Linked DNA regions of Danio rerio. The protein of the gene in region 2 binds, or shares a complex with, the protein of the main gene of each other region. Links are inferred from orthologs where the notes say so. Each region holds a gene or a part of one and is shown on either strand. Other genes may lie near its edges.

Region 1 (6,066 bases), on a different chromosome or scaffold from region 2:
TTAATAAAATGCACAAAAGCAGGCACATAAATCTAAATCGGTGCTTAGCCAAACAAAAAGTGCAAAAATATTTATAAAAGCAGCAGCACCAAAGCTCTAAAAATATACATTTATCACTAAAAAGGCCATCACAAAGTGTACAATGTTTCAAGCACACACTACACAAAATGTCTGAGGAAAAGCCGGTGTGCTCAAAACATCTATTTTTGGAGTTTTGGTTTTGCAGCCTTTATAAATATTTTTAATAAAGCATGAAATTGTGTCATTGACTCACGCATGTGGTTAATGCATCAAAACTTTAAAAAAGTGATAACATACAAAGCACAGCTTCTGTTCTGACAGATTTCCAGTTGACATTTTTGAGCTTCTGATGTTATTTATCTGTGACTTCACTTCAGTGAGAAATTTGCCTCACAATCTCATTACCACTGCACAATAATGGAAAAGAATATTGCGATATTTTATTTTTTTGCTATAAATATAGCGATATGAATACCAATTCACAATATAGTTTGAATAGCACTATCTGATAGTTTTAAGGGGAGTCTAACAGTATGCAGGTACAGAAATTGAAGCAAGTAACAATATTGTTTTGTTTTCACAGACAAGTCACAATTAAAAAGATTTTCTTTAAAACAAGCTAAATTATCTGCCACTTTGGTAAATGAAATAATCTGGTTTTCACTTTGAAATGTAGATACTTGGACTAGAAACAAGATAAAAATTGTAACTAAGACTTTTTTTTGCATAATCATATAAATTCTGTACAAATACAGCGAAATACTGCTCAACATTGCATCTCGTTGCTATTTGACTATTGTGGACCTGCACATTGCAATATCGATGCTAAAACGATATTGTGCAGCCCTAAATCTCAAGTAAATGCAGTTTTCTGATAAACAGGTATTAATTTGAATGTAAATACATTTTTTAAATTTTTTTATAGATTTCTGCTTATTTTGTGCATGTAAACAGAGACTCAATTTTTTGTCCTTTTGGTTTTAGTTAAAACCATGTAAATGACCCCTTAGTAACATTTAAAGCATTGGTGCATTTAATTTTTTTTTTTTTCTTTTATCATTTGAGCTTTTGTTGTCAACACACATGTATTACATTTTAAAACAGCTCGACAATGTAAAGCTGTGCTTGCATATCTAAAGTCTCAAGCTTTTTAATGCTTACATCACTACATAATAACTACATAATGATATATTATGTGATTTAAAGGCCACTAAAAACACCTTGTTGAATATTTCTCAGCAAACTAAAACTTAAGTGTGAATGGTAGTTAGTTCTAAGACATGATTTCCAGTCCAACTAATTGGATTTCTATGGATCACAAGTTAGACCTTGACAGGTGACACACAGAAACAGAATCAATAGGCACCCCATTAACCCAAGGTTTATAACACCACTATCAACATTTAAACTAATTTCAGCATTTACACTGACAAAAGTCTTGCAGCTGTCTTGCCACAAGACTGGGCAGGAAGTTGCTTTGACGTCAATGCAGAGAGTGATTAAGATTTTAGAGAAGAGATACAAAAGCATGTTGCTGCTTGAACTTGGATGCCAACAAAAATAGCGTCAGAAGATAATATTCCCCCAAAAACAGTGTCGAATCAAGAAAACTGTGCTGTCAAGGCAAGAAGATTTTTGCTTGTTAAAAATCTGGACTCAACAATTCACCAAAAATTACAAGAAAACTTATTTCAACTTAATATTTTACAGACTATAAGTCAATTAACACAAGTACACTGCAACTTTTAATAATAAAAATAACTTTTTTTTACTTTTTAAACAAAAAATATATGGACAAGCTCATTCGAGTGCTTTCCCAAATCTCAAACAGTGGATCACAAGATAGCAAGATCACTGGTTATCTAGCAAAATTAACATGCATAAATTTCAAAGCTGAACATGTTTCTTAGGGAGAAAATAGATAAATCTGCCAAATGTATAAATGTAAATCCCCTCAGAAGGCAGGATTGATACTATGAAAACATACATCCAAAAAGGTTTTTAATCTTAGTCTTTGCAACTGGCTCTAAAAACCAAACATGGAAAATCATAGCCCTATTTGTTAGTAAAGATTTTGTTAACAGCTTTTTTTTTTTTATGAAGCAAAGCACAAATAATTAAAACATACACAATAAGAAAAATCTCAAGATAATACCTCCTGTTCATCAACCTGAGTCTGACTTTCTTCCAATCCAAAATGACACACTAGATCTGAGCTTTAACATGGCTATGTCAGTATTATCCCTTTTGTAATTGCACTCGTACAGAGAAATCCAAGCAACGTTTTCCAGCATTAGTAATAACAACATTTATTTCCATCTGCTCTCATTTGAGCCCACACTGATGACAGGCTTGACAAAGAAGAAGACTGTCAGCAAAATCCAAGGATGGATTCCTGCTTCCAATCCTTTATCCACAAATATGCCAGACTGGCTGGCCGAAGAAGGGCAACGGGTTGATCTGACATGTAGGGTCAAGGAGTATGAGGGGTAAAGAATCGATCAATCATATTACTAAACCAATCCATTTCTCACATAACTCTCAAAAAAACTGTATCAAACGTTTTGATACATTTGATTCAGGTACAAAATACACAATTAATATCCACTGGCCAGGCAACTAGCATATGCCATTTAATTCCTCCTCTATTATACAGACGTACAGCTGTCTGGCCAATGCACTATGGAAAAAGAGCCTTCTGTATTCTGTATGCATTAAATATAAGAATTAATTTGACATGTATGCTCAAAGCTGTATATTCCTATTTAAACAGTGTGTTAATACACTCCCCTAGGGACTAAATATGTCTAAACTGTATAAACTGTTTAAAGAGGTATACGCAATAAATCAGGGGAAGTTGCATGTTGCTAGTTTGTTAGCTTCTATCCACAAGCAGACACTTACGTTAGACATTATGCTACCTCAAATAAAGACAAATAATACGTCACAGAGCAACAAATATAATTTCTTGAATTGTTTATAACAACCTTTAATGTCCGTTTAAAGACAATTGTGGGGAAAGAGAGCTTTAAACCTGTTCTCAGTTGTTTGGTTAGCAATACAGCACAAAATGGCGACACGTTCAGTGTGACGGGAGATGAAGATATTCCGGCCCGTTTACTACACAAAACACTACGCAACATATCGCTTTCTTCCAAGCAAAAACGGGAATCCCTACCTTTTCTTTTCAGTGACAACTCCAGTATCCATTCCTGGGTGAAACCACTCAGTATGTGTTAGGTTTTCTCCGAACCGCGAGGCCAGAAAATCAAGGACGTGGCCACCTTTTGCTAACAAATAAAAACGCGTTTATTAAAGAAAACGGCCAGACGCGAACTAATAATCCGGGTCAGGTCTCGTGTGGTATGTTGAAAGTGTCAGAATGGTAAAGATCAACCCTCCGGTTCGCTGAAGGTCAAATCATTTGTTTGGCACCGGTCGGTGCAGCTTCTGGTCGGTACAAAGAGTTAAACCGTGCCTGCGCTCTGACTACTCTCACTGTGCCTCGCGCGCTCACGAGGCTCTGACGGGAGCGAGCGCATTCAGACAGCGGTGTCGCACTTCGAAACCCATCACAAAACTGATGGCACACCAGTCCACCAGCAGGCCAATCGACCTCCGTATGGCGTAATCAACACCATTGATTTGACTTTGTCGTAAATTAAAATTACGTCCGTGTCCGGTAAACCATCCCTCAAGTTTATCAATAGTTCCACAATAATATTGTCTATATTTAGCAAGTCATTTTTGAAAACAAAAATAGTTTGTAACTGAAGACAATTGGCCTAGTTTTCAAAATAATTGTGCTAATCTGCAACCAGAACACCTAACTAAAAAAACTTCAACTAACAAGCATTTTTATTGCAATAACAGGAAATTACAATGAAAATACAGTAGAATAAGTACAAAACAAAAAACTGCAAATATTACTTTTTGCATAAAAAGTAAGTTATATTTTTAAAGAAGTAGCCTATTGCACTGGTATGGCATAGAAAAAAATGTGACAAAGAAAAAAAGACAATAAAATAATGAAATTTAACTACCAAACATCCAGAACACCCTGGAAACAATTAGAAACCACCAGCAACCAGGCTTAAATAATCTAGCAGCCATTTAACAACTCTGGCATGATCTGTTTAACCATACCATAGAAACCATCCAGACAGATTGTATTCACAAACCTGTAAAAGCTCGATAAGTAAAACAACACTTTAAAAACTAATAGTTAAAACGTTAAGCCAAAATTTAAAAAGGCTTTCAATGAATCTTTTAGTTTGTGTTTGAACTGTTTTATAAAAAATCACTTGCAGGGTACATTTACACAGTGCACAAAAAAAGTCAAATAAATTAGAGCAAAAACGCAGAGCAAGGCTACATATAGTCAGGGCATAATAGCAAGAAAAAAAGTAAAATGCAGTGGATGTCTTTAATTTCTTTTCCAACAAATTAATTTAAAAAAAAGTAAATTTACCACAACCTGCGATAAAGCAAATAAATACCTAGATATTATTTTGTTTTGTTTTTTTGGATTCATCATTGAAGTATTCATTCATATTCGCCACAGCAGAATGAACCACCACTATTCCAACTTTTGTTTTACGCAGCGGATGCTCTTCCAGCCACAGCCCAGTACTGGGAAACACCCATACACTTTCACATTCACACACGCACACATACACTATGGCCAATTTAGTTCATCCAATTCACCTATACCGCATGTTTTTGGACTGTGAGGGAAACTCACGCGAACACAGTGAGAACATGCACACTCCACACAGAAATGCTCATTCAGCCAGGATTTGAGTCAGCAACCTTCTTGCTGTGAGGCAGCAGGGCTAATCATTGCAGCAACATTATTTGATACAAATTTTCAAAGGTTGCATTTTCAGAGTCCCAAAAACAACATTTTTGGGTAAAGGAATAACTAAAACACATAATTAATGAAAGTTTTTTCACATTCAAATGATCCAAATGCCAAATCATTTTCCAAATTGTCAGGAAATTATTTCCCCTCCTTCTGATGAGCAATAAAACATTGACAGTAAATCAGAATCGGCCAACTCAAGCTTGTAAAATATAACATTATTGTCCACTTGTGCAAATGTTATATCCCCTGGTAGCAAAGAATTCTGGCCCAGATTTGACATAAAGCTGGCACAGCAGGTGTTCGTCCGGCTCTGGTATACAGCATGTGGGCCAAACATGGCCCAGGTTTGGCAGAGGTGGCACCATCTTTAAGGCAGCACACAAGACTTGGGGCAGATATAAAATGTAGAATTTGGATCAGATGTTAAAACAATTTAACGTGGGCCACGTAAGTTTGGCGTATTATGACCCACTTTTAAATTACATTTAAATTATTTTTGAGTAAAGAAAAAATCGACCAATCAGGTCGCTTTCTGACACACCCATTGCACACCTAAAGCGAAATGCTTCATGGGTTTATCAAATTCATTGCACTTGTGACACACCAACATATCTGACCCAGTTCAGGCCCAGATATGGGTTGTTAACTTGGCTGAGACTTGGCCCAGATTTGGTTCATGTTTGGCCCATGGAAGCCAGACTTGGTCCAGTGGGTCCTTATATTGGTCTTGGTGTGAAAAGAGCTTAATATAAGCAAATTATTGAATATGGAAGTAATGGTGGGGTTTTGGCAGAAACGTCATCAGTTTTCTGATGCGTTGGTTATTTCTCTTCCTGCTGAACTCATTCGGCTAGATTATTCCTTTCAGCATCAATTCAGATTATTAGCATTTTAATAATAAACAGATCATCCTGAATTTATTACAGCCTTAGAAAGTCAGATGACTTTTGTTTTACACAGTTGATGCCCTTCCAGCCGCAACCCAGCACTAAGAGTATAACCCTCACTGCTGAGAAACAACCACACACTCTCCCATTCAAACACTAGAAGCTTACCCAGATCACCTACATCGCTTGTCTTTGGACTGTGGGGGAAACACACACAACTCCACACAGAAATATCTCCTACTCCAGCTGGGACTCGACCCAGCAACCATATTGCTGAGAGGCAATCATACT
Region 2 (5,512 bases):
TTAATAAACTATTAAAATCAACGTTTATATGTCTTATTATTCAGGCATATATTAATGGTTACTATATATGTTAATAAATGCTTTATTAACTCAACTTCATCTAGTTTTGTGACCTAATCTAAAGTGAGGACTATTCATGCTTTATAAATCCTTTATAAATGACAAATAAAGGCTCAGTTAAATTCTAAACAAAAAGAATGACATTATTCATTCCTATTCATTTATTCGTCCTTCATAATGTCCTATTCGTTCATTTTAAATAAAAAATAAGTCTTTGCAACCTAATCTAAAATAAAATCACTGTAAAGTTTAAACATTGCATCTTATTATATTGTTAAATTACTATATTGTTGTTGTTGTTGTTGTTTTATCCAGTTGGATGTCGTATTTTGACACTCCTGTAATTCAGCAATGTTTAAACTTGATCAAAATTGTACTTTTTAGAAAAGATTGCAAAGATGTTTTGTTTATTTGATTCTGAGCCTTTATTTGTCATTTATAAGGGATTTATAAAGCATGAACAGTCCTCACTTTAGATTAGATCACAAAACTGCATGAAGTTGAGTTATTAAAACATTTATTAACATATTAGTTAACTATTAATATATGCCTGATTAATAAGATATATAAATGTTGATTTCAATAGTTTATTAATCATTTACTAACTCATTCTGAATCATCCTAAAACCATCAACTCCAAATGGTTTGTAAATAATGCAATACTTAATTTAGTAATGAAAAATAAATCATTAACTAAGTATGAAAATACGATTATTAAACACATTTTAAATATGTTTGTAAGTCAAGAATAGAGCATTTGTAGCTACAGTTATAAGCTGCTTACTAACGCTTATTAATGTAGAGTTTATGCTTAACAGATAATGAGTTCACTAGATGCTAATGCTTAATAAATGATTTATAGTGTGTAGTTATTATAAAGTGTTACCTATTTTTTTTTCTGCTGTTAAACACTGCAAAAAGTCAACAGGAGGGTTAAAACAGACGTCCTTTGGGAACATCATTTTGAAGTTGGATAAAGGGTTATACATTTACAATATTTCCCAAGAATATTGTAATATATTTAAAATCGCATCATGACACAAGTGATAATATCAACCCTGCTGACCTGTGAGTGTTTTCTGTGTTTTCTGGCAGGCGATGGTGGCGTGTTATCCGGGTAAAGGCACGGGTTATGTGCGCCATGTGGACAACCCGAATGGCGATGGGAGATGCGTCACGTGCATTTATTATCTTAATAAGAATTGGGATGCCAAGGTATGCAAGAAATCACAGATGTTATTTAATCCTCAAAGCTTCGACCTGAAAAATTTTGTTATTAAAAGGGACTCTCAAAATACACATTTGTTTACGTTTTTTTTTCTTCTATTATTATCATTTAGTTTGCCTAATTATCCTAATTAGCCTAGTTAAGCCTTTAAATGTCACTGTAAGCTGAATACTAGTATCTTGAAGAATATTTAGTCAAATATTATGTGCTTCCATCATGAAAAGACAAAGGAAATTAGTTATTAAAACTAATGCTAAAAATTAATACGTTAACAGTGTTATAAATTCAGATGTCTTTATTTAATTTCATTCATTTATTTTCCTTCAGCTTAGTCCCTTATTTATCAGTGGAATGAACCACCAACTAATCCAGTGTATGTTTTACACAACATATGCCCTTCCAGCAGCAACCCTGAACTGGAAAACACCTATACACTTTCACATTCACACACACACACACACACTCGTACACTACGGACAATTTAGTTTATTTAATAAATAAACTAAGGAGGAAACCCACGCCAACACGGGGAGAACATGCAAACTCCACACAGAAATCCCAACTGGTCCAGCCAGGACTTGAACCAGCGACTTTCTTGCTGTGAGGCGACTGTGCTAACCACTGAGCCACTGCCCAATTTCATTCATTCCAATGAAGTAAAAAAAAAGGTTTCTGAAAAAGTCTAAAAACAGAGGTCAATTATTTTTACAGCAGAACTCTTCATGTTTTGATTTCATACAATAATATACTTACACAAATCAAGTTTCTTATGTTATGCTTTGATTATATATGGAATCAAATATGGAAAATATTGTATATGGCATCGACTAAAACTGGAGTTTTGTTTAGTAATGTAACACTCACCGGCCACTTTAATAGGTACACCTGTCCAGCTGCTCGTTAATACGAATTTCTAATCAGCCAATCACATGGCAGCAACTCAATGCATTTAGGCATGTAGACATGGTCAAGACAATCTGCTGCACCAACACCATGAAAGCATGAATCCATCCTGCCTTGTATCAGCGGTTCAGGCTGGTGTATTGTTGCTGACCATGTCCACCACAGTGTACCCATCTTCTGATGGCTACTTCCAGCAGAATAACGCACCATAAAGCGTGAATCATCTCAGACTGGTTTCTTGAACATGACAATAAGTTCACTGTACTCAAATGGCCTCCACAGTCACCAGAACTCAATCCAATAATAGAGCAACCTTTGGGATGTGGTGGAACAGGAGATTGGCATCATGGATGTGCAGCCGACAAATCTGCAGCAACTGCGTGATGCTATCATGTCAATATGGAGCAAAATCTCTGAGGAATATTTCCAGTACCTTGCTGAATCTATGCCACAAATGATTAAGGAAGTTTTAAAGGAATAAGGGGTCCGACTGGGTACTGGTAAGGTGTACCTAATAAAGTGGCCGGTGAGAGAATATTTGTATATATAGTATTTTAAATGTACAAAAAATAAATAAATAAATAATAATAATAAATACACACACACACACACACACACACACACACACACACACACACACACACACACACAAGAATAAACCAATATTGTGCATCAGTACAGTACCATTTATTTGCAATTCATTCATTTATTTTTTTTTCGGGCGCCACAGCGGAATGAACCGCTAACTTATCCAGCAAGTTTTTACGCAGCGGATGACCTTCCAGCCGCAACCCATCACTGGGAAACATAAATACACACTCATTCACTCTCATACACTATGGACAATTTAGCCTACCCAATTCACCTGTACCACATCTTTGGACTTGTGGAGGAAACCCACGCGAACGCAGGGAGAACTTGCAAACTCCACACAGAAATGCAAACTGACCCAGCCGAGGCTCGAACCAGCGGCCTTCTTGCTGTGAGGCGACAGCACTACATGCTGCTCCACCGCATCGCCTATTTACAATTAATTTTGAAAACCAAACAAACATCTTGATTGTTTTATAAAATACCAGTTTGATCACACTCTAGATTTTAAATGTTGAAAAAAAAAAAGTTGAAAAAGTCTCAATGTTTGCTCAATGTTCTGAAGTTCTGACTGAAAGATGTTGTTGGCATTTTTAAAGCATGCTGTTTTCTGAGACGGTCATGAATGGCTTCTGCATACGTGCCGGTCGTGCTTCATTTCAGTCTAATCCCATTAACCTCTGAGATTGTAATCTCCAGAGAAAACCAGCAGGAGAGTTACTGAAACAGCTTAGAGAGTCATAAAAATGGAGCACGAGACTCAGTCAGAGGCAGAGACCATCAGTCATGTGATTAATGCACTAATACTGTAAAACCATTCACAGATTCTTCATGTGTTTCTTTACTCTCTGATTGCATTATAGTTTTATTTCATGCCTAGTATCTACACTGTAAAAAATGCTGGGTTCGACACAATTCCTTCATGTTGTCCCAACACAAATTTATTAAGTTAAATTAGTAATTTTTTTACAAATTAAGTGGATTCAGAAACAAAGTTAGATTAGTATTGTTCGTAACTCATTTTAAATAAGTAGTTTGAACAAGCAGCAAAAGTAATTTGTGAATGTGTAAATAATGCTGGGTTGTAGTCGAATATGGACAAACCCAACATTGGGTTGATTTTTTATTATTGGGTAAATCTAACTTTAACACTTTATAGTTTTTTTTCTAAAAATCTACTCTCAAAAAATATTTATTTGCTTTTACAAACAACTTTTAAAATGTTTTTACAATTTAAAACGAGCTGTAACAACACAATTCTTGAGATTTCATTGGGACAACTTGAATGTTTTATGTTCAATCCGCATAAAGTGTTATGCTGTGTTCACACCAGACGCGGTAGGAGCGTCAAGCGTGAGTGATTTAACTGTTAAACGTGCAATTAGACATCCTGTGGCGCGGTACGCGCAAATGACGCAAATTGCGCGGCACGAATGTCGCGATATGCGCGAATGACGCAGCGCGAATTGAACGTTTTGCGCAAATCGCTCGAGTTCAAAAATCTGAACTTCAGCAGACATTCGTGCCGCTTTAACCAATCATGAGCTTGCTCTTGTGGGGGCGTGATTGTGACATATTGACTGTTGTTGGTGTCCCGAGGTAAATCCTTCAGCCGACACCGACAACAGTGCATCAAACTGGGCTCGGCTCAGTCAGGAGCACCGCTGAAAGCCTCATCCAGCCGTCATCCAAGTTCAGTTTCTGGAGGAGTTTATGAGCTCAGCTGGATGCACCTCTGAAAGAATCTATTGGACTCAGACACAGCCCTAAACATATCGACACTGTTTTTCAGCCTTCATAAAACACATAAACACTGTTATTTTCTTAATAAAATCCATGTTAGCCATTTAGCAACAAAGCTAGAGTCACCGGGCAGACAGAAGCCCTGCCCATCACGCGAATCCGCGTCTGTTCTGAAGTGAATTTAACGCGCGAAAGAAGCAGGGTTTGACGCGCGAATATAGCGAGTAAACTCAAATGTTCACGCGACGATTTATCCGCGCGTTCCTCGTCTGGTGTGAACACAGCATTGTTGACTTAATGGATTTGGGTTTAGACAACATGAATGAATTGTGTGAAACCCAGCATTTTTTAATGCTTAAAAAGATTTTGTAGTATTAAAAAGATGTTTGAGGAAAAGCTGATGACATCAGAACGTTTTTATTTTCTCTCAAAAGGCAATGCAAATAAAGGTAAATGCTGGGTTGTGGACACCGAACGTTGAGTCAATTATAAACAAACTCAATGCTTAGAGTGTACCATATTTATAGAGAGGATCTCTCCCTCATTTGCATAAACAGCACTGAGTGAGAAGCAGCGTCATATTGGGCTGATATAAACACACCCAGTCCTTTTTTTTCAATTTAACAACATAAAAACGGTGGACCAATTGGAGTGGTTTTGAGACCGACCACAACTTGACGTAGGAGTGCGGTCCCCCCGCCCACTAAAATTGACTGACAGGCACGCATTACCATATCCTCAGTTTGTTGTTTCACGTCCACCAAAGAAACACCCTTGCTCTATTTTTGGATACACAATGAATGCAACATATTGAGATTCAGGCTATTAAAAACAGCTAATCCACCAAGTCTTTCAGCACTCTCTCCGAAAACACTCGATTGATCTCGACTGGCGGATCAACATTCATCACATGATCGCTCTCATAGGCACTATTGTTTGTAACTTTAGGTGGCTTTGCAAACCTGTGAACTTTTTATTGCGTCTTCC

The links. The genes of interacting proteins can lie anywhere in the genome.
Region 1: the proteins of egln1a (region 2) and hif1ab are in contact, whole or in part, in a crystal structure (PDB 3HQR), measured with the Homo sapiens proteins. The link is inferred for Danio rerio from reciprocal best matches to the Homo sapiens genes EGLN1 and HIF1A. Residues at the interface, in NP_071334.1 of Homo sapiens: Gln239, Leu240, Val241, Ser242, Gln243, Lys244, Ile251, Arg252, Trp258, Lys262, Asp277, Ile280, Arg281, Ile292, Asn293, Gly294, Arg295, Thr296, Lys297, Tyr310, Val311, Arg312, His313, Val314, Asp315, Pro317, Asn318, Asp320, Arg322, Arg370; in NP_001521.1 of Homo sapiens: Leu559, Glu560, Met561, Leu562, Ala563, Pro564, Tyr565, Ile566, Pro567, Met568, Asp570, Asp571, Phe572, Gln573, Leu574.

What each region holds. Positions count from the first base shown.
Region 1 is NC_133195.1:22,894,248-22,900,313, forward strand, and holds the start of hif1ab (hypoxia inducible factor 1 subunit alpha b), read right to left. Parts: upstream 3,620-6,066; 5' UTR 3,232-3,619; coding exon 3,200-3,231; intron 1-3,199.
Region 2 is NC_133188.1:53,017,798-53,023,309, forward strand, and holds part of egln1a (egl nine homolog 1), read left to right. Parts: intron 1-1,155; coding exon 1,156-1,275; intron 1,276-5,512. UniProt on the Homo sapiens protein: Cellular oxygen sensor that catalyzes, under normoxic conditions, the post-translational formation of 4-hydroxyproline in hypoxia-inducible factor (HIF) alpha proteins.